Linked DNA regions of Diceros bicornis minor. The protein of the gene in region 1 interacts with the protein of each later gene in a biochemical or structural test. Links are inferred from orthologs where the notes say so. Each region holds a gene or a part of one and is shown on either strand. Other genes may lie near its edges. The genes, in order: DSG1 and PKP1.

Region 1 (15,000 bases):
ATGGTTTGGACAAGTAATGGAAATGTTATTGTAGAGTCCCTCTTGGGCACAGAGTTGAAATGGTGTTAATGCAAATGTGTACTCCTTGCTACTTGTGAACTCATGAGTACTTTTTTCTCTCATTTGTTTGTGGGTGTGAGTGGGAGTGTGTTTGTCTGTTTGGAAGCCATTTCTTCATAGCTACAGAATTGTGCATGCATCTATTGTTTGTCTTGCACTTTCCTTACCACACTGCAGTGTCGGCGGCTGCTGTTTGTTTTGAACTATGCTGGATGACTAAGAAACCTTCCAACTTCATGAAGCTGGCTCGTTCTTTTTCCCATGAGAGGCAACGTAGGCAGAAGACCAAATAGCTTTCACCATAGTGTCAGGCTCTCAATTGGGTTAGTAATTAAAAAACTGCCAAGTCTGCTTAAATTTATGTTGTGTTGTCATAACCTTATTGTCTTTTGCTCAGAGTCTAGAATAAAATCTAAAACAGTCACTCTTGGACTTTTAAGGCCAAAATAATGAGATAAAAATAACACTTGATAGAGTCAGAAAACTTTCAATGTACTTCCTCAATTCTCTCAGGTTTTTCTCATTTGTAAAATGACAGTTGCAGACTAAATTATATAGTTACCTTTCCACTTCTAACATCAAATCTCTGTGTGCAGTAGGAAAATATTGATTTTTTTTGATCGTGGGAAAGGCATGATAAAATTGTGGGTTTAAAAGGTTACTCGGACAACAATAGATAGGAGTAGTGAGAAGAGGCAGCGATTACAGGCCACTGAGCAGTCGAGTCTTCTGCATCGAATTGAGCACATCTCAGCTCTGTTGCTCACTGGATATGGGCATTGGGGTAAGCCAGAGATGAGGAGGCGCTGAACCAGAGCGGTGACAGTGGGAACAGACCAGGAAAGATCAAGGGAGAGAGACTATGCGGTTGAAATTGACAAGGCTTCAGAACAAACGGGATGTGGGAGTCAAGAGAGGGAAGAATCTCAGGTGATGGCAGTTTTCAACTGGGAGATTGGGAGCAAGGCAGTAGCAGAATTTAGCAGGTTAGAACACATCGAGTTTGAGATGCCAGGGAAACGCCCAGGTAAAGATAATCAGCAATTTGAACTATGTGTCAGCATGATGAATAATAGTTCAGGCCTGATATATAGATTTGAGGGACATCTGCTCAGGTAGGGTAGTTGAAATCATGGGAGAATTTGAAATCCCTAAGTAGAAAATACAGCAAAGAAATGGCCTGTGGTTGAGAATGAAACTAGGGGAATTCTTACATTTACATAACTGGGAACAATGACAATAAACAAGAAAGAAAAAAAGAGATAGAAAAGAAGTGCCCAGAGAAACAGGAGGAAAATATAATGCAATGTCATGGATGCCAAAGGGAGAGAGAATTGAAAGGTGGGGTGTGAACAGATGTCAGATGTTATAAAAATATTGAGCAGAGTGAATCCTGCGGAGATTCTGAGGTTTTCTGTGACCTTCAGGAAAATGCTTTCAGTTGGGTGGAACAGGCCCTTCCTGACTGAAAGGGATAGAGTAATAAGATGAAGAGGAAGAGTACATCCAGATGGTCGCTTTTTCAAGAAATTTGGTGATAAAAGGAAACAGAAAGATGTGATAGTAGAATTAGATGTAGTGTCCAAGGAAATATTTTGGGAGAGGGAAATGTGGATTTTTGAAGGTGGAGAAAGAGGAAAGCAGGAGATTTTGATTTGAAAGAGAAGAGGTTCAGAAAGAAAGTACTTGATGGAGGTGTTGTGATGGAGAGAGCAGGAGGGAATAAGCAGAAAGAAAGGACTTTGAAGGCAGAAGGGAAGGGAGAGAGGAAGGATGGAGATTAAAATCAATCGATTATCACAGGGAGGTTGAAGGACATTGTCCTTCATTATCTAGACCTTGCTCTAGAGTAAGGGTAAGGTTATTTTCTGGCAATTAAGGGAGTAGTTTGGATTCTGAAATAAGTTGGGAATATATGTTGTGGAGGCTGTGATGGAGATTCACTTAGAGATAATACAGGGGTTGTCAAGCTGACTGAGTACATCTCAGCTCTGTTGCTCACCACATATGGGCATTGGGGTAAGCCACATAGCCATTCTGTGCCTCCAATTCCTCATCTGTATTTGAGACTAAAGCCCTTTCTAATCTAAAAATTCTAAGAAAGCAGTGAATAATTTACTTGAAGTATATCCTCAATGAGTCCTCCCTTCATCTCTATTTTAGGAACTGATCCTCATATTAAAAAAGGAAAAAAAAAAAGCCACAGGACACAAAATTTCATGCTAATTTCAATGATTCTCTAACTATACTTGTTAGTTTTTTTATTTTTAGCTTTTTTTCTCTTGATATTGAGGTTTATATTTCTTTGCATATAATAAAAATTGTTTTAAAAGTGGTAATTTTTATAAGGAAAAACTCTTGCATTTAATAATTGTGAGGTGATCTTCCACAGTCACTTGGCAGTTTTTGTTAGGCATCAAATTCTAATGTATTTAACTGTTATATGCAACACAAAGACGAACTTGAGACAAAGCTAAAATATAATAGTTTGCTTTTTTTAAGAAACTTCCTCTTTTGTCTTTCCTTTATATTACTTGGACAAAAGCTATCAGTCTGGAGTTGACAGCACCTTGATAGGGTGATTTCTCTTATTTGTTCATTAGTTTGTTTGTTCATTTGACAAATACATATCTAATGTGTATTATGTGGATCCAACACTGGATGAAGACTTTTAAAGGGCTTAAGCCCCAAAAGTATTATGGTAAGCCTTAGATAAAATGTAAAGTAAATGTAATGCTACACCATAAAAATAAATGTTAGGGAAATTCAACATTATTATTTCCATGTTTAATACCTTGATTATTTTTTGGAGTGTGTGGGGAAGAAGAAATATAAACTATCCAAAAATTCTCCTCGGATGCCTCTACTTTGTTTGATTAGATGTCTATTGAGCAATCTTGCATTTGTGTAAGGCACTATGAAGGATTCAAAAGTGAATCAGACACAGAACCTGCCCGCATATAACTTATAGTTAAGTAGTTTTATGAGCAACAGGCAGCCATTAATTTGTGGAGATACGGTTTTTCATTAGACAAGTGTATAAGGCTGCACTCTATTCTTATAGACCAGTCGAGAGCCTGGATCAGCAGCCAATGGCATTTAAAAAAGTTTGACCTGCCTAAGTCCATTAAAGGAATTTGCATGCCAAGCAGAACCAGCAAGGGTGGTAGACCCAGCATTCCGTAAGGGTATTCCCTGATCCCTCATTGAAGGGAGCATCATAAATCTAACTGCATTGCCGAGCATGCTTCCAGCTTTTGTGTTAGGCAACGCCTGTCAGGACACAGGGATACTCAGCACCAAAGTCCTTGAAGAATGTATAGTGGAGAAAGAGTTATCTGAAATTAAATGCTCCAGGTATAGACAAGTGTCATTTTTCTTGATTCCTGAGCCTTGCTAAATAAGGGAATCTTGTCTCTTAGGGGCCAAGCCTTCAGATTTATCCAGACAGCATTTCCCAGTGCTTTAGGTTTTTCTATAACCTAAATCAGGCATGGCAAATTGTTTTTCCTCTGTGGCAACTCAAACCAATTAAATAATGATAAATTTGAACTCCCTATTTTCACAAAGGTGAAAGAAGATGCTGATTCTAAATCTGCAGTGAAATAATAAAGCTTTTAAGAATACCATATAAATGGAAATGATTTTGCTTAAATACAATTTATAAATTCTACTGAACAGGTAAACAGAAATACTCTTCCATTTTCTATAAAATATTTTACTGAGATGCTAATATTTGTCATATATGTCACTATAATATGTGCACAAGAAGGCATAAAACATCCTCTCTTTTGCTTGTCTTCTGTTTGGTCTGTACTAGTTTGCTAGTCCTTCCTTGCTTTAGGAATCAGTGAACACAATTATGAGAATTAAGATGTCCGGTTCAAATAAGTGAGTGCACTATGAAATAAAGTATATTTTATTTTCTATGTATTTTAGCCAGAGTGCTGAGAAATACTCTGAAAAACTCCTGCCTATAGCCTAAATAATTTCAGCTAAGTTCAAATCGTGGAGTTAGTTTATCAGGTGGTCAGAGGGGTTTTTTTGGAAAGGAAATATTAATCGTGGAAAAAAGAAAAGCTAGGCTGGTATGATGAACTAAAGAAATTGGATCATTCTTGGTAATAGATAAGGATAGGTTTATTTGTTCTTTGAGTGTAAGCTGCAGAAGTTGGCCTTAATAGAAAAAGATACATTGAGATTTGTATTTATTTGAGTTGACTAATAGATCTGGCAAAGTTGCAAGTAATTTTTAGAAATCAATAGAACTATAAAAATTCTACTGGTCGTATTTTGCTTTCCTACCATGACTAGGGCATACCTTATACCATTGTCACAACCATCTACAGAGATTTCTTATATTTGGTGCATAGGTAACATTGTTCTCTGGCCTAGAATACACTCTAACCCCTCCCCATCCCATATACCAATTTCATGGAAACAAACAAAAAAAAAAAGAAAAAAGAAAAAGAAATGCAGAATCAATAATATTTATTTGTCTTGCAATGTTATAAGAGGTGTAAACTATTGTCTATCCAGGACACTTGTCTAAATAATGGAATAGTCATGTGGCAATCTTGGTTGCTGTCAGAGCAGATTCTTCAGCCTTATTCTCCCTGATTTAACTCACTAATTTGAACAAGGTCTAAAACCTTCAGGTGTATTCAGCAGACCACGTAACATACTTGTAAATAGATGGCTGCCCATCTTGCAAATGGATTTGCATTAATAAAGACACTACCTGTTTAAATGTCTTAAAAGTCTTCAAGATTGTCCAAATATATTCCCTAATGTAGATTTTCACTTTGAGCAGAGAAGAATATAAAGACTTTACACAGATTTTTTTTCTTTTTTTTTAAAGCAAACATTCATAGTAAGGCTAGCAGAAAGGTAAGTGGGAGAGTTTGCTCTAGTGGTGGTTAATTTTCAGAATAAAAAAAAGTATTTTAAAGCAAAAATAGATCAGATGACTCCAAAGGATATTTATTCAAATCATCTGGTAAAATCAGTAGTAAAAATAAATTATTATTTTCCAAACCTCAGAAAGTAAAATGCTTTACAACAAAAGTTACAATAATGTGAAAATGAAACATTTTAATTTATAATAAAATAAGTTCTTTGAGAAATAATTTTCATAAGGCGTATGAGAAACTTGCCATTGATTCCAGAGTAAAATATGGCAACAAACAATCCACAAACAAAAAATATATCCAGACTTGGAAAATAAAGTACAAATGCCCAGAAACCTTTATACAAAAAGAGACGTTTCAATGAGGATGCATGATTTTGAAAAAATGATATATTTTACTGAAGAATGATTAATTAGAAAGTGGCTGTTTAAAGGAATTTTATGGGATGTAATTAATTGGAAATAATAATAGAATAAAGAAATAAAGTATTTTATAGATTCAGTGAAAGTACATAAGCATCTGAATAAACTTTAATCAATTGTAACTATAATAGGCCTTAATGGATCAAATTTATATGAAATTAAAAATAAAAGTATTTGATTATTTCGTAATACACAAATGCTCCTATGTTCAAATGATGTGCTGTATAATGCTCATGAATCCCTGCCACATCCCCAGTTATGATATCAACTGATCCTAAAGATCCATTAAAAAGTCCATGGAACAGGGCTAATGTTTGAAGGACAGCCTGGAACTAAAGCTACCAGCTTATTGATGCTTATTTATAACTAAACCTACTGGTTATGACCTCTCTCAATTAATAAACTGAATTCAAACTAACCAGCATACCTTGAATCAAAGAAGATCTAACTTGTTATTACAGAAACTCAACAATCCAGTTCAAAAATTAAGCATGTAGAAACAAATATAAACCACAGCACTACATCCTGCCAAATTGGAGAGCGATTAACAGGCACTTGCCTCCAAAGATTACATTAACCTTGCTGTGCGAGAGACTACGATTTAAAAATTTTCAACACAAGTGAAATTGATGCAACACAGTGGTGTTGCACTTAGTATTATCTCTAAAAAGACAAAACTAATGACGTACAAGGGGGACAATGAGAAAGCATTTCATTACATTTGTCTCACCATCAAATGTACAACTTGATATTTGTATCACCATCGTTACTGATTTTCCGGTAGTAAGAGCCAGTATCTTAATAATTATACTTACTCCTTAGTCATAGCCATTCCTTCACCTACTATATCATTTATAAATCTCCCATACCACCATTTTATTTGAAATAAAAAAATGTTGTTTTAATTAAAATCAGAGTTTAGCAATGTGGGACTTTCGATATTAGTGATATGGCTCTCAACTACATATGGAACCGATGAGATTGTTTGGATAGTGAGGCCAGTCACAAACTGCTATGATTTTAATTTATACGGATACTATTTTTATGTTTTAAAAATTACAGCAAATCTACCAGCAAAGATAACAAAAGAATGGAAAATTGGTTAGGTTAAAAATCAGGACACACCTGTGATATTATTAGTTTAAAAGCCCATCTGCAAAAAAGAATTTGAAAATCAAAGTGCCGTTAAGCAGTGATACGACTTTTCTTAATTCAATATTTTCCTGGCATGACTTAGCAATGACTTCCATGTCAGAGATGTGATACGATGAGTTAACACTGACGCATTAATATGATCTCGAGTCTTCAATTAAAGAGAGAAACACTATTTAAAAATCTAGTTCATAAAATCACCTCATCATTAACATAAACTTTTAATGGGTTTAGGCTAGAAATAACACTAAATAACATTTTCTAAAAAGTTCTCACTTGTTTACAATGTGAATGATTATGAAGGGTTTTTAACAGACTCCACTTACCAAGAAAACGAACAGCACTGCCGCTGTTCTGAAGAAGTGCCAGTCCATCGCTGCCGAGTTCTCTTACATCCAAGACCAAGGGAGTTTTGTTTGTTCTTCTCTGTTCTTTTTCTTTCCCCCACTCAGCTGGTGTCTGATTAAAATAATTTCTCAGTAGATGTTCTTACATGCAGGCTTTGAGGTGTTTCTGCCTTCTCTGGGAGAAGGACTGAAGGTACGTATAACCAGTCTAGATCCCCACCCTAAAAACTTGGGCTGGTCTCACTAAAATGCTTGACAAGATCATCATTGCTCCCAGGTAAAAGCTTAAGGACACACCCTTCCAGCTGAAAGGCAGCTCTCTGTGGGTCCTGAAAGATTCACTCCTTTACAGAAGGTTTTCAGTGACAGGCATTTAAAATGATCAGAATTATGGGGACTTACGCAATTGATAAGGACTTTTCACCTTATGCTTTTTTTACAGGTTGTTTGGCTTCTTCCCATATTAAAAAGGCAAGTGTAGTCAGGCTTATATTATTCAAAGGGGATTCTCCCGCCCATGCTCAGAGCCAGACCCTCAGGTCACAGTAGAAAATTACAAACTTTCCATTTCAGTGGATGTTAGGAACTAGTCAGTTATTTTCGAAGTTGTTTAAGAGACAGAAAATTTGCTAATGTTAAGAGTGAGGATTTTTTTTATTTTTTTATTTTTATTTTTATTTTTTTTAATTTTTTGTTTATTGCAGTAACATTGGTTTATAACATTGTAAAAATTTCAGGTGTACATCATTGTACTTCTATTTCTGCATAGATTACATCATGTTCACCACCAAAATACTAATTACAACCCATCACCACACACATGTACCGAATTATCCCTTTCACCCTCCTCCCTCCCCCCTTCCCCTCTGGTAACCACCAATCCAATCTCTGTCCCTATGTTTGTTTATTGTTGTTATTATCTACTACTTAATGAAGGAAATCATACAGTATTTGACCTTCTCCCTCTGACTTATTTCACTTTGCATTATACCCTCAATGTCCATCCATGATGTCACAAATGGCTGGATTTCATCGTTTCTTATGGCTGAGTAGTATCCATTGTGTATATAGCATTAATTCAAACAAGCAAAACTATGATACTTACAATTATAAGGTCCTCTGTACAAGTCACGATTCCCTTTAAGTGATCAGCCTAAGACCAGGGAAGCCTCTACTTCTCTAAATGAGTATCTTCTCTCCCCAATTATTTTTCTCTCTTTAAAGTTCTGCTCTTTGCAAAATCAGTAAAACAAAATTTAAAATATCACCAAGCCAGATGAAAAGTAAACAATCAAAACCACCAATTAAAATCCTGTTAATAGTTTTTAAAATGAGGATCAATGCCTGAAATACTAATGGAAACCAGAAAGCTGCTCTTCAGGTGAGGTGGGTTAAAAGTCAATGACAATTCCCAAGTACAGAGCCAAGAATCTGGATAGTGAGCCAATTAGAACATGGGGAACACACTGAAGAGATGGCTGCCCACACATGCAAATGACAAACTGAGCAGCCCTGAGGTTTGTGAAAATAAATAGTGACTCTTACAAGGCAGCATTTGAAAGTGTTCTTGGGATATCATCTCTTCACTTGGCAATGTCTGGTATAAATATTGTGAGTGGCAGGAAGTCTATGGAGTTGGAAATGGCAGTCTGGAATAAGAGACCAATCTGATAAGAGGTTGATTATGGTCAAAAGGATGCTTAAAATGACCCAGAAAGGAAGGATATCTCTGAAGGTCAGAGGTTCTACAGAATGCTGTCATTTTACTACAGGTGTGTGGCAAAGGTTACTCAACAGTAGTTTGAAATTTCACGCCGTACATAATGGAGGTTAGAGGGAAGTAGATAGGCTGCCTATATTTACTTGCAATGAATAAGAATGCTTATGATAGGAATTGGTTGATGTGAATAAGTAAAACAAAAGGAGATGGTCAGGCCAAATTTCTCATGAGTCAAGTAAGACAGAATGTGAGTGTGATCCTATGACTTATTTTGAGCAATATATTAGTATAAGATTGTATGACTGTGAATGACTGAAGACTCATTGGGCACCAGAGATGAAAGAACCTACTCTTGGAGCTTTCCAGTGGCAAGTGAATGTTTATCCCCCTTGAGTTCTAGGTATGGCGCTAGGGTGTGCACAGGCCCTCTTCATCCATTGAATGACTCTTCCTCAAGCCTGACCTTGGTTCCACCCCTAACTCAATGGCCTGCTCCAACCATCCTAACCAACTAGAGCATTCCTTAGTCAGCAACTTCTCCAGCACGTTTCTGGAGAGGAGGTGTGGCAGAATCCCAATGTTGCAGAGCAGTGGCTGTCTTGACTGTCACATGAGAACTAGTGACATTAAGCACAAGTGGGAAATGGAGTTTATGAATCACCATTCTTTCTTCTTAACCTCTTTTCTTGCCTTTTTCTCTTTCTTAATCATTTTATTGTCCTGTTCTGAAATGTGGAAATGTTCTCTATTTGTGTTTTCCAATATGGTAGCCACTAACCATATGTGGCTATTGAGAATTGACTACTAATATGGCTGAGGAACAGAATTTTTAACTTTATTTAATTTTAGTTAATTTAAATTTAAATAACTACATTTGACCAGTGATTACCATATTGCACAGTGCTTTTATTATCTTCTATCTTTTTCTGCGCCTTAACTCCTTCTGTTCTTTATAAATTCAACTCCCTTTAATTAAATCTATCCTGTTCCATTTCTCAACTGAGGGAACTCGAGCTTTGTTCCAGTTTCCAGCTGGCACCTTTTGAGTCTCTTTCCTTTATGTACTCCTATTATCTCAGTTGGCCCAGTGCCTTTTCCTGACACCTTACTGATCCTCTGTCCTAATGCCCATGAGTTATTTTAAAACATGGGCAACACAAACCCCTCTCATTTCTATATTTACATTTTCTCAATTCTTTCTTCCAGCCACCTAATCTGTAACCTCACACCACACTGTCGCATCACTGTGCTATACAAGGTTGCTTCTTCTATCTGGTATCACTGCACTCTGTTTCTTCTCTGAACATTGTTTCGTGTGTGTACCTCCACGTATTACCAACAGTTCTCATTTCGTGGAAATTTTATGAAATTTGGGTTGATTTTTCTGTTTGGAAGTTCCCTGGTAAGCTGAAATTTTCTCAAAAGGATCAAAACTCCCCTGAGAAAGGATTTTCCTCTCTCTCATAAGGCACTGTAAACTCTAGAATGTCACCCCCAGTGTCTATATTTCTATATTTGTGTACAGCTTGGGATACTGTAATATCTTCTTGAAAGACAAAATAATCAGCATCTTTCACTAAAGGTGGTGGATTCCACTGATCTAGAATTTTTTAAGCCTAATTAAGATAACTGACTATTCTATATTCCTTCATTTACACAGCACCCACAGCCTAGACTCTCATATTTCAGAGAAATCCTTTGAAATAAGCTTTTATGTTATATGTGAATCTCTGGTTTCATATCTCTGTTGAAATTACCATAATCAGCGCTGCAAATTCTTTAAAAAATAAATAAAACATAAAAGTAAATCCTAAAATAGAGAAGAAATTGAAGTAAATATGTTAAGGATAATATAAACAAAAATTTTTGTCTTTGCTTCTATATTAGTGTTCCTATGGCATGTATTGATTCTAGATCTTGCTCACACTGTTTAAAATCAGACTATTCCTCAATGAGTCACATAAAAAAGTGGAGGGGATGGAGGCTGCTGTTTTAGATTAAAAGACACTTTTCCTTTAATATATAACAATCAGATGCAATGCCTGATCCTTAACTGGATTCCTGATTTAAACAAAACAGCAATAGAAATAATTTTGGGGTTATTTGGAGAAATTTAAATATGGGCTGTTAGGGAATTATTATCAATTTTATTATGTTACATAGTAATATGTCTTTTCTTTTTGGTGAGGAAGATTAGCCCTGAGCTAACATCCATTGCCAATCTTCCTCTTTTCCCTGAGGAAGATTGGCCCTGGGCTAACATCCGTGCCCATTTTCCTCTATTTTATATGGGACGCCGCCATACCATGGCTTGACAAGCAGTGCATCGGTCCGCCCCTGGGATCCTAACCTGTGAACCCAGTGCCACCGAATCAGAATGTGCAAACTTAACCGCTATGCCACGGGGCCGGCCCCATAATATGTCTTTCTTTTTGAAGATACATGTCAAAATATGTAGGGGCAAAATCTCATGGTGACAGAAATTTTCTTTATGGTAACTCAGCAATAAAATAGATGAAGTACATAAGGCAAAATGTTAACAATTGTTAAGTCTGATAGTATATGGTTTTCTCTTTGCTTTTCTGTATATGTAAGAATTTTCTTAATGAAATTTAAAATAATGGACTAAAGTAGGGGTTGGCAAATTATAGCCATGGGCCAAATATGGCCCACTGCATTTTTTGTTATTTTACTGGAACACAACCATACTCATTTGCTTATGTATTGTCTATGGCTACTTCCTCTCTACAACAGCAGAGCTGAGTAGTTACGACAGAGACCACGTGGCCTGCAAAGCCTAAAATAATTACTTATCTGGCCCTTTACAGAAAAAGTATGCTGACCTCTGCATTAGATGAATAGATTATAGTTTGTAATAGTAAATTAGTTGATCTTAGGAGAGTCTACAAGATTGATCTAAAGAGTGTGAACAGAAATCATGATGACTAAAAGTAACCCATAAAATTAAAGCAATTAATCACTGAGGGAAAGATACATCTTTATAATCAAATTATATTTTTAGTTTTATATTTTCAGAAAGACTTTGTTTAATTGGCTGGATTAATCTATGGCCTAACTCTTTTTCCTTTCTTTTAAACCAGATCTAAGGAAAACTTTAATTTTATTTTTCTCTAGTCAATTCTAGATTGACAGTTCAACAGCATCACAACTGTATGTACTTTTCTCTACATAGAAAGAATATTCATGAGTAGGGGAAAATCTTAAATGATTTTGGGAACCTTGGATTCTATCTTAATACTTAAATATTTTATGATAAAATAAGAGTGATGAAAGAGACTAAATTATTATTGTCTGTTCTTTTAAAAAATTAAAAAATAATTCTAATTGAGCATCTACTGCAGGTGCATTATTCTGCTAGGTGCTGTGGAACATTCAAAATACTTTTGAACTCAGCCCTTAAAGAGGTTACATTGTAGCTGCAAACATACTGAAATAGAAGTATTACTACTCCCTTCTGGAAGACTGTCCTACTCACACGTCTGTGTGTATTAGCCAACACCCCAGTGTACTCTTTGGATTTCATCTGCAAATTCAGTCCTTCCTTTTACTTATAATAAATTATCATCAATTCAGTACTACACCAGTTTTTTCTTTGGCCTACTATATGCCTTGCCCTTTACCAGGTACTGGAGTTACAAAGGTGGATACACCACGGTCCTTGCCTTCAAGTGGCTCCAGGCTAGCTGGAATGAGAAAGAACAGACTTTTTTTCCAACCTGCTAAATGGAAGCCTGCATAGAGTGCTTGGGAACCCATAGCCCAGTTTTGTCGGAGGTGATGTCAGAGAAATCTTATAATGTTAAAGGGAACACTTTTATGACATAATAGAATTGATTTCTAAAACGCTTGTTTTCTTCTTTTCTTTGTAGCTTACCTAAGTCAACTCATGTTGTGCTTTCAAATTTATCTTCATTTTTTGGTTAGGAAGATTAGCCCTGAGCTAACATCCGCTGCCAATCTTCCTCTTTTTGCTGAGGAAGATTGGTCCTGAGCTAACATCTGTGCCCATCGTCCTCTGTTTTATATGTGGGATGCCTGCCATAGCATGGCTTGATGAGCAGTGCATAGGTCTGTGCCCAGGATCTGAACCTGCAAACCTGTGAACCCTGGGCTGTTGAAGTGGAGTGCGCAAACTTAACCACTACACCACCGGGCCGGCCCCCTCTGTCTTCATTTCTGCTGCTGTGGATCCATCCTCTCCAGGCCCTCTTCACCTGGCATTGCTGTGCCACTCTTCTAATTGCACCTCTGCACTCTTCTCTTTTAATCCACTTTATAGTCATTTTCCAGAATAATGTTTCTGAAACATTGCTTTCCTTATGTCATGCATCTCCTCAAGAAATCACAATAACTCCATATTTCCTCCCAGATCAAAAGGTCTTTATATTGCAACCGCTCAGTGACAAATTTATGTCTCTCGGTGATTTACTGTCTCTGGTGGAAATAAGAAGCAATCACCTCCACAGTCTTAAGATTTTCTACCATTGTCTTTCATATTTGAAGACATCTTCATATTTGAAGATGATACCAATATGTTTCAGGGTAATATATTGAATGATATTTGTCTAGAATATTTTCCATTTAGGGGTGTGTGTATAGTCGATAAGCAGGTAAAAAGATCATTTTCAGAAACCGTTATGGACTGCGGTTTTCAAATTTCAGTACCATCAACATTTTTTGAGCCCTGCTGGGGTATGTGCTATTTGTCAGGAGAGATAAAAATAGGTAATAGAAGTTTCTGTCTTTAAGAAAGCTATAATCTTAACCTGATCTCAAAGGAGTGATGAGGCCTGTCTCTACTACAAGGCACATTGATGTATGTGCTATAGGAAAGGCCTATAGCGTTTTATGAACCCTGCAAAAGGGAAATAATTTCCACATTAAGGGAATTGGAGAACATGTCACGGAAGAGGTAGATTTTGAAATTTTCGGGATGACTACACTCTCAACAAATGAAGGTATAGATGGGAAAGAAGGCAGAAAGGAATATGTGTTTATCAGGCCAAAAAAGGAATCAGTTTGGACCTGAGTGTACTGTTTGTGAGAGGTAGCAGGGCTAGTGAGTTAATAGAATGTGGAGGACTTTGAATGCCCTGCTGAGGAATTTGGATGATATTCTATGGCAGACAAAGAACCCCTGTGGAATTTCCAGCAAGCTATGGACCTAGTCAAAGTTGTGCTTTAGGAATTTGTCCTGGAAGCTTTGTGATGTATGGATAGAGAAGAGACAGTTGAGAGAGAAAGATGAATTTGGAGGCCACCATTATTTTTTAGGTAATGAACCTGAAATAGTGTGGTTTCAGTGGGAAGGAAAAAGGAGATAGAAGTGTGATGGAGGTAAAATAGACAGTACCAGATGGCAGATTCGATGTGGGTGGAGGAATAGGGTGATGGGGGATGGAGGGAAACACCTCCTTCCTTTTGAAATTAGGTGCAATGGAAGAAAAAGGAATCTATCTGAGGTTTTGCTGTAAGAACTGATCAGTTTTTAACATTTTGTTTATGCTTTGTTTTTCTCTTTTTCTACTTAAAAAAATTCAAATCTCCATCCAGATTTACAATTTCTTAACATTTTGCCACATTAACTCTCTCTTTATGTACACATACTTTTTGGGGGTATATTTTGAATAATTTGAAAGTAAGTTGCATATATCATGACACTTCATTCCTAAATACTACTGTCTGTATCTCCTAATAACAAAGACTTCTCCTGTAGCATCATAGTTTCAGTGTCTTTGAAGCAAAAATCATCAAAAAGGATAATGATGCTAATGAGCTATGACACATTGAATAAAAAAGAATACATGTGTCCACAGTGTTCCTCAAAAGGGTGCTGATGGAGACTAAGCTCTTCTTTTTAGAAGAGCTAGCTATATAGCTAGCTAATAAATATAGAAAAAAATAGTAAAATTAGAAACTTTTAATATCGTACCCAGTGACGTAATAACTGATTCCAGTAAAGGTCACCAATGGGTGTTAATACTATTGAGTGAAGTTTTGTTTGAAAACCAGGCATCGTCTCTCATCAATTGATCAAACTAAGCACTGCCAATACTGGGACAAGCTGACAATATGCGCCTCCTTGCATGATGCAATAAAAACTATACAGTGTCACCCATGCAGTATTCTTACTCAAAATTTTAACCTGCATCTTTGAATGAGAAAACAAGAAAAAAATCTCAATTTTGAAATATTCTATATTAAAGTGGTCTGCATCCTTCAAAAATGTTAATGTTATGATAAACAAAATATAGTGGGGGATTGTCTTAATTAAAGGAAATTAAAGAGACATCAAAACTAAACACAGTGTTTGAGTCTTAGGATCATAGAACATCCAATGGCAATGAAGAATAGCAATAGAGGACGAT
Region 2 (15,351 bases), on another chromosome or scaffold:
CCTGGGTGTGACTGCTCTGTCTGCAGGTGACTCATCCAATTACCATCTAGGCTGTGCAGGGCTGGGACCGGGGCTGGGCAGGTGACTGTGAGACAGAGGGAGAGAGTGCAGGGCCTGCTCAGCTCTCGGGCACACGCCCCAAGCGTCTGCCAGTTTTGCGGCTTCCACAGCCTCTCCCTGGGCTCTGCTCCACCTCCCAGGGCTGGCGATTCTTCCAGCATGGGGCAGCAGAACAGCCCCTCCAGGAAGGGCCTTCTGGGCTCCTCTCCTGCCTTGGTACCCCTTTAAGTCTCAGGCTTGTCATCCAGTCTCCCACCCTCAATCTCCCCCAAAGGGAGAGGGGCCCGTGTGCCCATGGTGGGGGAGGCAGGTCCCAGGCACCCAGGCCTTTGCAAGGCCACGTCACTGTGCCTCTCTGCACTCAGCTGCCTCTTGTGACAAATTAAGGGGCTAGACCAGATGGTCCCTGAGGTCCCCTCCGCCTCTGAGGTTCGAAAGTGTCCAAGGGCAGTGATGACAGAGCCACCCTGTAGACAACAAGGACAACAGTGCGGGGCCAGGCCAGGAGGAGAGGCGGGGCAGCGGGAGAGAGGAGGAATGCTGGAGGCTCTGAGATGCAGGAGAGACGCACGTGGAGAACTGGGCCTGGATAACGGCGTCAAGCAGTGAGGCAGGCAGAGCAGAGGGCAGTCGGATGGGAGGCAGGAGGAGCTGCGGCAGGAGGGAGAGTTCTGTGTGTTATTAAGCTCCCATCGTGTACCAGCCCTGTGCCTGACATTTAATGTGTTTTCTATGTATTTACGATCACGAGAACCCTGTGGGGCAGGTGTAGCACACCCAATGTTACAAAGGAGGAAACTGAGGGACAGAGAAGTTAAGGGGCTTGTTCAAGGTCGCACAGCCTACAGTGGCAAAGCCAGGGTGTGCAAACCTGGTCGGTTCACTCAAAGCCCTGTTCTTGTTTTCCAGGCCACCTCCCTGGGAAGGCCCTGGGGTCTATGCTCCAGTGGCTTTTGGTCCCCCAGAGAGCTGTGGGGCCCCCAGGATGCTGTGGCTGGGGCTCAGGCCTGGAGCCCTAGTCCCCCCCGGGGTTTGCCAAACAGCACTGCTGCAGGGGAGGGGCAGATGGGAAGGCCGGTCTGGTCTGCCAGCCTCGGGAGGACAGAGCTGGAATCTGGGGCTGGCAGGGCGCGGGCGCAGACCAGAGCTAGTGCTGACAGCAGCTGGGCTGGGTCGCTGGCTGTTATTCATCACCTTCCCTCCCTCCCTCCATGGCCACCACCCCACCCACACTGCCCAGAGAGACCAGAATGGCAGCTCAGAGAGTTCTGGCGTTTCGGGGAGCCCGTGGTGCACACCCTGCCTCTCCCCTCAGCTGGCCTGGCTCAGCCCGCCTGGGACACATCCAGGCCCGGCTCTCGGGGCCTGTGCACCCGACCCCGCGGCTCTCGCTCCTCCCCCTGCCAGCCCTTCCACCTCATCTCCTTCCAGAGCAGAGCAGGGCTGGAACACAAGGGCACAGGCCAGCCCTCTAGTCCTGCCCTCACGGATGGGGGATCCATGGTCACATGCTCACATCTTCCAATCAGGGTGTCGCCAAATGGCTTGGGGAGTGGCCTCTGCTCTGCCATTTTCCCTTCCCCGTCACAGCTGGAAGCCTCCACCCTCCGTACCTTCCAGACACAATGGCCCTGTACAATGGACCTCAGAGTGAGGGGGTGGCCTCACTTCAACAAAATAAACATTTACCCAGCACCCAATGCGTACCAGTAATGTGGACGGTCGGAAAGTAAACAGCATACGTCCCTCCCTCAGGCTGCTCAAGGTCATGTAGACGTGTGACGGTGGTGGCGTAGGGCCAGGGCTCTAACACAGGTAGAAAACAGTGACACGGGGTCCCAGGCGAGGGGCTGAGTTTAGTCTGGGAATTGCTGAGCAAGTATAAATAGGATTGACATGTCGACAAGCAGCAGGAAGGCAGGGGTAGGGGTGTCTTGTCACCTCTATTTAAGTCCTCTCAAGGGAACTTCACTCCTCTTAGAACAAAATTCAAGCCCCAGACAGAGGTCCAGAAGATCCCGTGGGATCCTGTGCTGTCCTGTATAGTGGCCACTGGTGACTTGGCTCTTGAGCATTTGAAATGTGGCTGGTGGGTCTGAGGAACTGAATTTCTTATTTCACTTAATTCTAACTGATTGAAATAGCCAGCACATGCAGAACATTTCCATGATCACAAGAGGCTGTACAGGACAGTGCAGCCCACCTGCCTCTGTGTCCACCGTGTGTGCACCACCCCCCTACCCTGTACCCAGGCCATGCTGGTCTGTCGGTTCCGAGGACAGGCCAGGCTCTTGGCCTTCACACTCGCTGTCTCCTCTGCCTGGAGCACCTGCCCCCACCCCTGATGGGCAGCTACTGCTGGAGTTCCAGGTCCCAGTTGTCGGCCCTCTCTGACCACGTGGTGAACGTCGCCCCCCTGTATTCTCCATCAGCCTCTCACTGGCTTCCTTCACGGCACTGAGTATAATTTTGCTAGCTCATTTACAAGTTTACTCTGTCCACCCCCTTAGAACGTAAGCCTTGTGAGAGCAGGACCCAGGCTTTTCTCCTGTTTATCCCCAGGGACTGGCACAGCATGTAGCCCATTTAGGCACTCGGGACATACTTACGTGTCTGACCCAGAGTGCTCACGTGGAGGGAATAGCGTGTGCACAAAGGTGCAGAGGCAGGCATCCGCTCAGGGCGGGCCGCTGAGGGCTAATAGGGAAAATGATAAGGGAGGCTAGTTAAAGATTGGGGAAGGGGCACTGGGGTTCATCAGGAGAGGTTATAATGTTAAGGAGTTGGGCAGCCATTGAGGAGCCTGCTAGCTGACCAAAGGAACTCAGCTAGAAAAGGCTGGAGAGCAGGGAGCTGGCCCCATGGCTGCTGCCCGGGAAGCCCTCAGGTGCCTGGAACAGGGGTAGAGGCAGAAGGATGGGGCTGAATAAGGTGGGGTCATAAAGGAAGGTTACCTCTCCCAGCTCCTTGGGGGTGTCTGCATCACTTTGGGGTTCAGGTGGAGGTGGTCCCCTCACCTTGGGGGCTGGAAACTGAGCAAGGAGAAGCTTCAGCCCGATCACTCCTAAAGGCAGCAGGAGCCCAAACCCTCCTCTCAGCCGTCAGTCCTCCCACCTGGCCCAGCATCCCCTCCTCCCCATCTCTATAAGGGCACTGCATCCTCGGTGCCTAGGACAGGGCCTAGCTCAGAGCCGACACTCAGTAAATGCTTGTTGAATAAATGAACCCCCATTCCGCTTCTAGTGCACCTCGAGGTCACCGGACATTTTACTGCCATGAGCACTGCAAGCCTGGAGTGTTGAGTGACATCTGGTCACGGTTAATGCTGCAGGGCCAGCAGCAAAGAGAATCGGAGCCCGGCTCACACTCACCCATTCCGATGTCTTTGAGGATGAAAATCTACTCATCTTGTTTCAGAAGCAAGTCAAGGTTAACTTTGTCCAGGAAGCTTTCCCCAGACCACCTCCACCCTCTAAATGCAAATTAACCCACACTCATTGGAATTTTCCATCATCTAAATCATGTTCTGAGAGTCACCTGAAGGCATGCTGTTTCAGAGCTCAGCTGCCACGAGCCTTGTGGCATCTCTTCTGCACTTTCAGAGGGTCACCCTCCTCTCTGGCCCTTTTCTGAGGCAGGGGCCCCCAGGCGGGGCTCAGGTGGAAGAGAGAGGTGATGGAGAAGTCCTGGATTTATGCTCACGACAATGCACTTGACCCCAAACCAACCTCCCGGCCTGAATACACCTTACTCACCTGGGCCCAGAATTGGTCACTCCATGCCCCTCCCTTTCCTTCCCAGTGGGAAGCCAGACCTCAGCTCAAATCTGTCTTCACCGCTGACTTACCCTTTCCAAGTGTGTCTCCTTGTCTGCAAAATAATAGCTTCTCGGGGTGTTTGGGAGGATTAGATAAAATAACGTCTGCAAAGTGGGCCTGCTGCTGGGCACAGCGCGACTCTGTGGGGTGGGCACCCCTCTGTCCTTTCCAGGCTTCCCTTCACTTTGGCGTTGGGGGAGGAGGGACAAACAGAATGTTGTCCGGAGGACCTGCTTCTAGATCATCTGCTCTGAAAATCCCATAATTGACATCAAATTCTGGGGGGTTAGGGCCAGAGAGGATTTGGGGAGCTATCAGAGCCACCTCCTCTCTTCACAGATTTGGCACAGGGGACAGAGGAGGGGACTTGTCTAACATCATAAAGCTAGTTAGCGACACAACTGGAACCGGAACCCAGGTGGCCTGACTTTCCTGACAAGTGACAGAAACGGATGCTGTTAAAGGATGATCCATGGAAGGCTCTGAGCCACTGCTTGTCACAGGGAAATCACGAGGAGGCAGCCTGGCACCTCGCTGAGTGCCCGGTCTCCAGGTCCAGGCTGCTTGTGCTCGGCCCTGTCTCTGTCACTTACCAGCTCTGTGACCTCGCTGAGCCTCAGTTTCCTGAAAAAGAAAGATGATGGCACTGGTACCCACCTCCGAGGATCATTGTACGGATTTGATGAGATGGTCTACATAAACGGCCCAGGGCCGTGCCTGGCTTGTAGTTGTGGTGCTCATAGGACACCAGCAAATGTTTGCTATTGCTACCAACATATAAAAATACTGTCAATATCAAGATAATAGAGAAGCATCTAGAAAAACCTAACTTCATCTCTGGAAACAATTTTAAAGATAATCAGTTTCAGCTTCCAGGGACTAAGTATGGCTTTTTATAGCAACATGAGATACCCCAATTACCTCCTTCAGAGCCCTTCTACATCCTAAAGGTAAAATTGTCATTATTTAAAGACATAATTAACATTTATTGTAGCTAGCATGTTAGGTCTTAGATAGGCCAGATGTGCAATACAATGGAGTGTATTTTTAGTGCTGTCATAAACACTTTATAGCATATTGGGGCCCTACGTAATGGGTATGCACTGCACTTTAATGCCCACTTTATAGGACTTTTATAGGGAGGCTGGCTAGTGTGGAGGGAAGAGCACTGGCCCAGGAGTCATCCAGCCAGATTAGAATGGAGGCTTCGCCACGTATTAGCTGCGTGACCGCGCACAAGCTACCTCCTCTCCTCATCAGAAAAACGCAGAGGCTGGCTGAGTGATGTGCAAGGCTCTGTCCAGCCCGGACAGTCTGTGGCTGGAAGCAGAATCTTAACATTCTAAGTGATGATAGAAGTTTAGGGGTGTTGAACTTTTGTACTTATGACATATTGCTGATCACATCTCTGGTTTATTTGATGCTAAGTTCCTAGGAACACAACCCTCAATTATAAAACTATTTCTATTGGAAACTATGATCTGCTTTATAATATTCTGCTCTGAATGTGGCTAAAAGGAATGCATCATGGAGAAAAGCTGGGGCTCCCTGCATATAACACTCCCTTCTCAGGAGGGGGGCAAGTGACCTTCGTGTGGTCCCTGAGACTGTCACTCAGGCTTCTCCACCCTTCCTCACATAATGTCTGTTGGTCCATCCTCTGCGTATCGGAAAGGCAAACTAGCAGTGACATGTGTGGGCTGTGAGTGGTGACTACAGATGACAGTGGAAGTGACGCTGTGGAAGCATACCACAGCTGGAGGAGACCCAAAGACTGAGGAGCTGGCCGGACCACACTGTCACGCAGTTCAGTGATGGATGTCCAGAAAGGGAACTCTGAATCATCAAGAAGTGCATAAAATATGTTTGGGACCTTTTGCTTACGGAGGAAAGGCAGAGAGTGATGTCTTTTAGCAAGATTTCCATCAACATAGTTTTAGAAATACTCAGCTCCTGTTACACACCAAATTCCCTGGTGTGGGCCACTCCATGCCTGAGGGTGATGCTGCGTGAGCGAAGCATCACAACACAAGTATCCCCTCCCGGTGGGAGGGGGCTATGGGAGAACACACACACACAAGTCCTAAAATACTAAGTCTGCAGTGGGGTAGTTTTACGGGCTAGGCCACCTTCCAGTTTTTCACGCAGGATATGGGTAGGATGCAAGTTAGACTTAATTTACCTTAAATTAGCTAGCTTTCACTCATTCTTCCACTCAGAAATATTTTTCATTGAACTCCTAATATGTGCCAGAGCCAGCCCTGGTGGTCTCGTGGTTAAGATTTAGCACTCTCACCGCCGCAGCCCAGGTTCATGTCCCAGTCAGGGAAACAACTCCCCATCTGTGGGTTGTCATACTGTGGTGGCTATGTGTGGCTGTGATGCTGAAAGCTGTGCCACTGTGATTTCAAATACCAGCAGAGTCGCCCATGGTGGACAGGTTTCAGCAGAGCTTCCAGATTAAGACCTGGCCACTCACTTCTGAAAAAATTGGCCATGAAAACCCTGTGAATAGCAGTGGAGCATTGTCTGATATGGCGCCAGAAGGGGAGAAAATGGTGTGAAAAGACCAGGCAGGGTCCCACTCTGCTGTCCACAGGGTCACTAGGAGTTGAATCAACTCAATGGGCACTAACTTAAAAACGTACATGCCAGGCACCTGTTTTAGGGGCTAAGTCCGGAGTTTCAGAGAGGATCCACTGTACACAGGCATTTTCCCCTGGCATAGCCATGCATGACAGGTGTGCTGCTTGTGGTTTTCTGTCTCAAGTCCGTCCTTGGTGTGCACTTCATGCCCCCACCCCACTCCCTGTAGGTTGGAGGGTGACTTAGAGTAAATACGTGGTCCCCATAAGATAGAACACTTCCTTTGGACAGGGGCTGTGCTTCGGCCGTCAGCCTGGGAGCCCCCACAGACAGGGCTGGTCTCTGCCATGACCCCGGGGCAGAGGGGGACGGGCATCTGGCTGTCCTGGGCCCAGTGGAGAAAGACTTCTTTTTCCTAGAGAGAGAGGTCTCCCTCGGCTCCCGAGTGGATCACATACTTTCTCCTGAGCAAGCAGGAACAGGACTGAGGGGCGTCTCCCGCGGCCTCACCTACTGCAAGTCGTGGGGAGAGGGAAGGGAGAGAAAGGAAGAGAGTAGGCGGAGGCCAGCCGTCCCACCCCCGGGATTCGCGGCCCTGCCCCCAGGAGCGCTCGCGCCCGCAGCGGCAGGCCCTGCAGCCCGCGCCTGAGCGGAGGGGTGGTGCAGGGCAGGGCGGTATATCCAGTCTGACGGAGGGCAGGCCGCGCCAGTGCAGCAGAGGGACGAGCCAGGGCGGAGGCGCCAGCAGCAGCACCCGGGACTTCGCGCGGACCACTCACTCTATGGCCATAGGGAGCCGCTGACAGCTCCCATAACCCACTCCGCGCCGCCCGCCAGCCGCACCGCACCCCACGCCGCCCCACTCGCCCCGGCCCGCCCGCGCGCCTCCGCCACTATGAACCACTCGCCGCTCAAGACCGCCTTGGCCTACGAATGCTTCCAGGACCAGGACAACTCGACACTGGCCCTGCCGTCGGACCAAAAGATGAAGACTGGCACGTCGGGCAGGCAGCGCGTGCAGGAGCAGGTGATGATGACCGTCAAGAGGCAGAAGTCCAAGTCTTCCCAGTCGTCCACCCTGAGCCACTCCAACCGAGGTAAAGGCTCCGTGCGCCCCTCCCTGGCGCGCCACGGCCGGCGGCGGGCACCGCGGGGCGCGCGTCCCGGGGCTGCAGGGAGGCGAGGGGATGCCGGCCCCAGGCAGGGTGTGCGCGAAGGTCCGACCAGTGGGGCCGCGGCCCCCGACCCGCGCGCGGGCTCCAAGAGCTCAGGGCGCGCCAGTGGGCGCGAAGGCTGGCTCGCCGCGGGGATCCACCTCCAGGAGCGTTCCTCCTGCGCGCCGGGAGACTGAGCTTCTCCCGCGAGCCGTTCTCCTGGCTCAGGGCTTTCTCTCCCTGATCCTGCTCAGGCAACAGCCTCCACATGCTGTCCTGTCCCCGGTCTCCTGGGGGCCGCGACGCAGGGCTCGCCCAGTGGCCACCCACACCCGCCCCATCTTTCCTGGGCTCCGAGTTCCACTGCGCCTTCAGCAGGCAGCTGGCGCCCAGTCCAGGTGGGGCCAGAGCGTGGTTGCCGCCCGGGAGGGAGTCACTGAGACAGGGGTGAGGCTCAGGGCCGTGCTGCAGGACCGGGAGGTCGGGCATGGAGCAGGACAAGCCCTTGGAACTCTGCAGCACGTTAGCGGGGAGCCTCACACCTGGAAGAGGCAGATCCGGCTGGAAGGTCACCCCAGGGCAGATGCGCCCCCTGAGGATAGGGAAGGGGCCCAGGGATGCCCTCTCTCCCCAGTGGCTAACGCGGAGATTCGGTTTCCCAGGTTCTCCCTTCTCCTCTCACCTTAAGTGGGAACAAGTGTCTTCAGAGACAGCAGAGAATGAGATTGGCAGCATTGGGAATCCCACTAGGATCCAGTGCTGAGCCCTTGTGGTGGGCACTTGTGCAATGTTGGTGCCAGGCGTGACCACCATCCCCATCCCACAGTTAGGTCCCCGACTAGGGAGGCTAGGAGAAAGGGACAGGACACCGAAACTTAAGGAGGAAGGTACAATATCCAACAGGGGCATTTGTGGAGAATTTTTAGACCAAATACTTTAATACAAAGGCTTCCCAGTAAGAATTGCACACAAATTAGTGAACCTTCTGTTTATTTATTTAGCTAAATTTAGTAAAATGTTAAGAAAGGCTCTGCAGACGGCAAACCAGTACAGGTCAACCGAGATTTATTGATGAAGTCCAGCCCTCATGAAAGTGTGGCGGTAGAAAGGAGGAAGGAGACACAGGAGATGGACCCCTGCCCATTCCCCCACCATGCACACTCACACACACACCAGCTCACACTTTCTACCTCTGGCTACTTGTCTGTCTGTCTGTCTCTCTCTCTCTGTCTCTGACTCTCTCTCTGTCTCTCTCTGTCTCTCGTCCCTGAGTGGCCCCTGTGGAGAGCTGAGGGAGAGAAAATGGCTGGCTCAGGACTGCCCTGCACCCTGGTCCTGAAGCTCTTTGCACCTCTGTGTGCCTTTGCCCTGGTCCGGGCTTGTGGTCCCTCTCCTGCCAGGCTTCCACTCAAGGTCACGCAGCCTCCAGGCCATTTGCCTCCTTCCCTCGTATTCCGTGCCTTGGTAGCTGCTTATTGGCATTTTTTGGAAGTTTGAGTTGACAAAGTGCCCCCATTTCTGGCCACAGCCCAGTCACAGCTCAAGCTAGCCCACTGTTGTCTCTGCACAAGACTTACCTGTCCCTTCCCACTCCATCCCAGGCGTGAGCTCTGGGCTCACAGCTCCAGAAAAATCTCAAACCAGCCCCAGGTGCCCCAAACACTACTTCTCCCCCGGACTTGTGGGGATGCCATCGTCATGGGGTGCTCTGTTTCTGGCCCTGCCCTTTGTGCATGACAGCCGTGTGTGAGTGTCCTTCCCTTCCTCTCCATTGTCCACCACAGGCTCCTCCAAGGGCTTCCACCAGGCGAGGGCTGACTCTGAAGGCTAATGCAGACCTCTCCAGAAATGGGGTTTTCCCAGGACTAACCCTGTAGGTGTGGCCCCTCTACCCTCAGCTCAGGCGAGGTTCCCACCCTGCCAGTTTCCCCAGAGGCATCCTAGCTGGGAGAGGTGGTTAGGTCACTGGGAGTTGGTGTTTCTGGTTTGTCTGGCTTTGTTTTCATCAGATTCCGCTCCTCTTTATCAGAACCACCCAAGCACTCCCTCGGCTCCCCCTTTCTCGTGCTGGTTGATATCCCACGCACCTGCTCTGGTTCCTGGGATGGGTGAGTGGGAAGCTGTGGAAGGGCTATACCCCAGGCCGTTCCCCTCGGCCCCCTGGATGGACTCTAATTCTCCTTCAGGCTCCTCCAAGAGAGAAGAGTCGGATTCTCTGGGGTCTTTGATTCCTGGGCCCTGAATCCCGTCCAGGGCCTTCTAATTAAGATCTCCTGTCCCAAAGAAGGTCAGCCACACTCCACAGGTTGCCTGGCAGAGTAGCTGCTACTCCTCGTACCCCGTGAAGGACAGTCAGGAATCGGCCACCTGAGGTCCTCAGAGACCACCCCACTAGGGTCTTCTTCCGTGTTGTCAGCGAGGGGGCGTTGAGCCACCCAAGGGCTGGAGGAAGGAGCCCTGTGGAAGGAGCCTGGCACTGAATGCTCGTCTCACCCATGTCTTCCCTAAAACTCAGCAGATGAGACGGATGCCTCATCTTGGTCAGGCAGTCCCCAGGGAGGGAGGGGGTCTTGGGGGTCTGGAGACCCCACAGAAGGAGGCTGCTCTGACCCTGCCTTCCCATCTGGATCTGTTCCAGAACTGTCCCCTAAGTATTGCCCCCGTGTTTCCAGAGGGTCCCTGTGTGCATCAGGGTGTCATCTCAGACTGTGTGGGGAGCAGGAGGGAACCCAGGGGGATGGGCTGCTCAGCCAAAGATCTTTGCTGGGGTCGCTCGGCTCCCGAAGGGTGGGAAAGTCCCTGCGGGGCTCATGAGCTGCCCTGTAGGGGGTAAAGGGCTGTCGCACCAGGTGTCCAGCCTAAAGGGAAACCCTTCTCCACAGTCAGGCTCTTCATAACTTCACCTGGAGTCCCTTCCCAAAGCTTCCCTCAAATCTCATCTGATCCCATCCTCCCCTGTCCCCGCTGATACACTAAGTTTAATGAGATCAGCGTCCTTCCTCCTATCTCTGCTCAATCCAGGGAAATCTCGTCCCTCCTGGCCTCACTGTGGTCTTCATCTTCAGCCTTGGCCTGAAGTCTTCCTCCTCCCTTCTTCTCAGCAGTACCCTTTCCTTATGAAAGTGACCAAGCCCGTGTTTCTCCCTGGTCAGAGGTAGGGGTGGGGGCACACTGGGCTGGGGCAGGTGCTTCTGGTCCCTCACGGGCACACGTGGCTCGAGGCCCCGGGGGCAGCTGGTGCTGGCTGTGCCCGTGCACAGGTGATGTCCCGCCTGAGGCCCCACCTGTGCCGGTCCCTCTGTGTCTGCGGGCTGTCTCAGCAGGAGCCTGCGCCTGCGCGGGGCTCTGCTCTGCTCTCCTTCCCGCCTGCATCCGGGAGCAGACAGCACTTCTGGGTTGTTTTCTTGGGACCAGAGCTGGGAGGGCAATGGTAAAGGTGTTCGTGCTTTACCTTGTCCCAGCAGCGAAACGTACCAATTAAACTGCCGATGAACAGGTTCTTGTTTCTTTACAATGTATCTTGGCTTGAAGCTGAGGTTTTAGCCAGAATTTCCGTTGGCCTGTTACAACACGTGCAAAAATGTCGAGTATTCCAGGCTGTTCCACAGCAAATGCCGTTTCCCTGGATCCCGCTCCTTTGCAAAGCTCATTGGCAGAGATTTTTAAAAAAATGCTCTCCTCACACACCAAACTGTAATTATCAATAAGCCAATTGTTCTAGGTTGAAAAATCTGGGAACTATATCTACAGTGGGGTAGGAGCCCTAGAAGGTGTGTAATATTTGAACAAAATAAAAGAGCATGTTAGCAACCCTCATGTGGAGTTCTTTGTAGGCACACACATATACACACGTGCCCACACCCAGGCACACGTGTCCGCACACATGCATGCACACACCCCACCTTGCAGCTTGTGCTGTGGCAGGAGTCCAGCCTGGTGTCAGGAGACTCGAGTTCTGTCTGGGTCCAGTGCCTGCTGGCGTGTGATCTGGGCAAGTCGCTGCCTCTCCCTGCGTCTCTGCAAGCGTAAGACGTCGATTAGATCATCTCCCAGGTGCTCGGTGGTGGGAACGCTCTCTGGAAATAGATTGTATAACCCCACCTCTGCGATCCGGGCCCCAAACCTGCAGATCTCACAGTCCCTTGGGACGCATCGCCCCAGTTTCCCTCGTGTAAACATCCTAATCCACCAAAAACATCTTCCGAGCCGCTGTTCTCAAACTCGGTCACGCAGTAGAATCATCTGGGAATTTAAAAAATGCAAATGCCTGGATCCCGCCCCCGGAGGTTCTGACTTAATGTGGGGGACAGCGTGGGCACCAGGGCTTTCCAAGGCTGCCAGCCATTCTAGTCCCCGTCCTTCACTCACACATGGACCCAGTGTGAGGATCACTGTAGTGTGCACACATCTCTCACACGCACACACACGTGTGTGCACACACGGACGGGCATCTGGTGTAGTCGCTGCTGGTGATGATTTTCTGCTCTGGACCCCACTGGGTGACTGAGTCCTCTCTGGCCCTGTCCACACTAACCCACTGCCCGGGCCCCCCAGGGTGCTCTCACCTTCTGCCCAGTCCTTAGTTTTGATGGTGACTGCGAACAGATTATCAGAAAGGGCACAGGCTCTGGCAGAGCTGGGCTGGAACACGGCCAGGCAGAGCCCGAGGCAGTCACATGTGCTGAGGGAGAAGAGGAGGCGGCCCGAGCAGCCCAGTTTGTTTCGGCATTTCTGTTCTGTGTACGTGCCCAGGAAAGGGGCAAGCGCCGCCCCAAAGTGCCTAGTGAGGCTGTGCTGAACTCCTGCCCCCTTGGGCTCGTGGAAGCTCCAGGACAGGGGAGGCACATTCCTGGTCTCCCAGCTGGCCTGGGCAGAGGGGAACAGGAGGATGTCGGCTTTTCTCCTCCCTCCGCGCACCTCAGCCATCCCACAGACACAGCTCCTGCCACCCCCCGAACATCTCAGAGGTAGATTGTCTCAGAAGTGTCTTCTGGCAGTTCTTCTCATTATCTCACTTGAATTCCTCCTGCTGTGGGCCTAGCCTTACTGGACAACACACGGGAAAGAGATTTCAGGGAGTGAAGTAAAGGCATTTTCAGGGCTGTAAGATAATGAGTTTCCTCTCTCCACCTTTTTGTGCTGAGGAAGAGATGGGCTTTATGTAAGTGTAGAAGAAGCTAGAAGAGACATCAGCCTACAGGAGACAGATTCAGCAATAGAGAAACCTCTCGGGCAGCTTGCCCTCTGACAGGTCCTCCTGACTAGCAAGGGAGAGGGATCTGGGGGGAGGGTGGGGTGGAGGAGAGGGCCTTCAGATGACCTCTGCCCCAAGGGCAGCCTGTCGGTCAGGCAGGCCCATATCCTGAGGGTCTTCTCCCTGTAGAACTGGGGTCAAGAGTGGGGTGGGGATCCAGACGACCCCTTTCTTCAGAGAGTTCCCAGTCTGACTGGGGAGATCCAGGTCCTGCTTTCTGGGAGAAGGGCACATGGGCGTGTACACACGCACACACACAGAGTGTACAGAAGCCACACTCAAGGAACACACCAGCCAGCACAGAGTGCATTGAGCCGCTGGACAGAGTGCTGACGAGGCTGTGCTGGGGGGTTCGGAGCGCCTGGAGCTGGGTGGGGTCATCTCTGGGAGAAGCTGCTCTTTGTGCAAGGTTTTGAATTCGGGGAGAGGGTTTGGCTGAGAAGAAGAGTGAGAATGTTTCAGGTGTGGTGGGTGTGACCTCTTTGAACCCTTGGGGGTGGAAGAGGATGAGTCACCTCTGCAGAGGTTTGCCTGTCCTCGTTGGAGAGCGAATTCCATGTCTCTTAACAAAGGAGCTGCCTTGTCCATTTTCAAAGCTTTCGTACGTGAGGAAGCTTGGGCTGCCCTATGACACAAGAGAGAATTGGGCATCGTCTGAGACACCAAAGGGAAGCAGCATCCAGGGACGCTGATCATCCAAGTGGTAGAGTTTCTGAGATGGGTTTACACCCTGAAACACTGGCACAGGATGAGACAGGCTGTGTGGACAGAGCGGCTGGTGTTGCTTGTATACTAGAGAAAGCAGCGTACTTTCTGAGACATTTGCTCTTTGACCTTGGGGTTTTGTGGATGGGCAGACGCCTCCCGGGGGCTATGCAGAAGTTGGGCTGGCAGCCAGGTTCACTGAGAAGCCGCCATCCTTTGCTCACGGCCTTCGCACCCTTCTGGAGAGGACAGTGGGATGCAGATGCTCAGCTGGGACGGTGCGGGTAATTCTGTGGGGGGAGCTGGGTGCTGGGATCATCTGCCCTTCCCACCCCTGGACCAAGAACCCTCCTCAAGGTGGCGGCCTTGGGTGTTCTAGAGCCGCACTCAGCTCCTCTCTCTTCCTGGTTGACCCAATGCACCAGGGACTTTTTCAGGTGGGAGGAGGGCCTGATTGAGTGAAGTTCAAGGACCCGTGTCCTGTTCTACATTTACGGGGCCATTGAGCCTCGAGGCACAGGCATCACAGAACCTTCACAGAGAAGGTTGGGCAGGGGAGAACTGGTCAACAAAAAGGGCCAGAGAGCCCAGTCCAGCCGAGCAGTGCCCTGTGCCCAGGACCCTGGGGAGAGAAGAGTCATGATTCTCACATGGGGGAGCACCCGAAGCCCGAGCTGGCAGAGCCTGGCATATACATGATGGAGAACCGACTGCAGCTGGCCGTGCCCTATGCGGAGAAGACCCGCAGCACACTGGGACCCAGCCCAGCTCACCAGGACAGGCTTCCTGGAAGTGAGTTCCAGACAAGCCAGGGATCAGGTGGAGAGGAGAAAGCTGTCAGGGCTATCACCATTACTCTCACTGAGAAGCCCCGGGTTCTTGCTAAACTTCACTTTCAGAGGGTAGCATTTACCAGCCAGACACCCCAGGGTCAGGAGAGGGAAAAATCGCCTTTGTGGTAGGAGCAGAGCTCCCCTCCCACCTGCACCCCTTTGGTTATCTGGCACACTGCAAGGGGTGCCTTCAAGTGTGTCCCATCTGTGGACTCCGCCCCTCCTGCACACCCTTGGCCCCAGGTGCAGCTACCTTTTGCCAGAGAAGCAGTGCTCGCTGGTGTGATGGCAGCCTCATTCTCACAAGAAGCCATGCAAAGCAGCTTAAGGTGGGGATCGGGCAGTCTGAACCCCAATTGCAGATGGATCTTAGGGGGTGCCTTCAGGAGCTGCCTGGAAGGGCCTGGAAGCCTTGGCCAACCAGGAGAGTTACAGCCCACACCTGTCATCATCAGAGTCACCACTGGACATAGGGACTGGCTTTTGGAATTATAGAGCATTCCAGAATTCATCTTGTTCACTCCTTGCCTCCATGGCAGAGAACTCCCCACCTGTCACACGGAGAAGAGGGTGTGAGAGGGAGGCGGGCAGGCGCGGGGCGTGGAGGGAGGAGATGCTTCATCTGATGACCGAGAGGGTGAGTGACATCACTGCTGACAGATTCCCTCTTGAGAAAGGGTGGAGGCCCCGTGGGAGCTTGCCATCCCCAGAGCCTCCTGGGGTCGCCTCTCCTCACAGGAGGCCTCCCTGGGGCTCCCAAAACACTGTGTGTGTCACCACCCCATATTTTCCGTCTGAAAGCAGCTGGCTGACCCATGCTCGCTCTTTGGTGAGAAATCCCTGCTCATGGAGACAAGCAAAGTCTGGCCTGCCAAGCCCTGGAAGGGATGATGGAAGTGGGCTGGACGGAAGGGAGGGGGACACGACCTGGCTGTCAGCTG

What was found.
Region 2: the proteins of DSG1 (region 1) and PKP1 form a complex in vitro, tested with the Homo sapiens proteins (2 studies listed by BioGRID and IntAct). The link is inferred for Diceros bicornis minor from reciprocal best matches to the Homo sapiens genes DSG1 and PKP1.

The regions. Positions count from the first base shown.
Region 1 is NC_080755.1:25,925,202-25,940,201, reverse strand, and holds the start of DSG1 (desmoglein-1), read right to left. Parts: upstream 6,923-15,000; 5' UTR 6,919-6,922; coding exon 6,871-6,918; intron 1-6,870. UniProt on the Homo sapiens protein: Component of intercellular desmosome junctions. Involved in the interaction of plaque proteins and intermediate filaments mediating cell-cell adhesion.
Region 2 is NC_080777.1:29,559,295-29,574,645, forward strand, and holds the start of PKP1 (plakophilin-1), read left to right. Parts: upstream 1-7,120; 5' UTR 7,121-7,359; coding exon 7,360-7,561; intron 7,562-15,351. UniProt on the Homo sapiens protein: A component of desmosome cell-cell junctions which are required for positive regulation of cellular adhesion.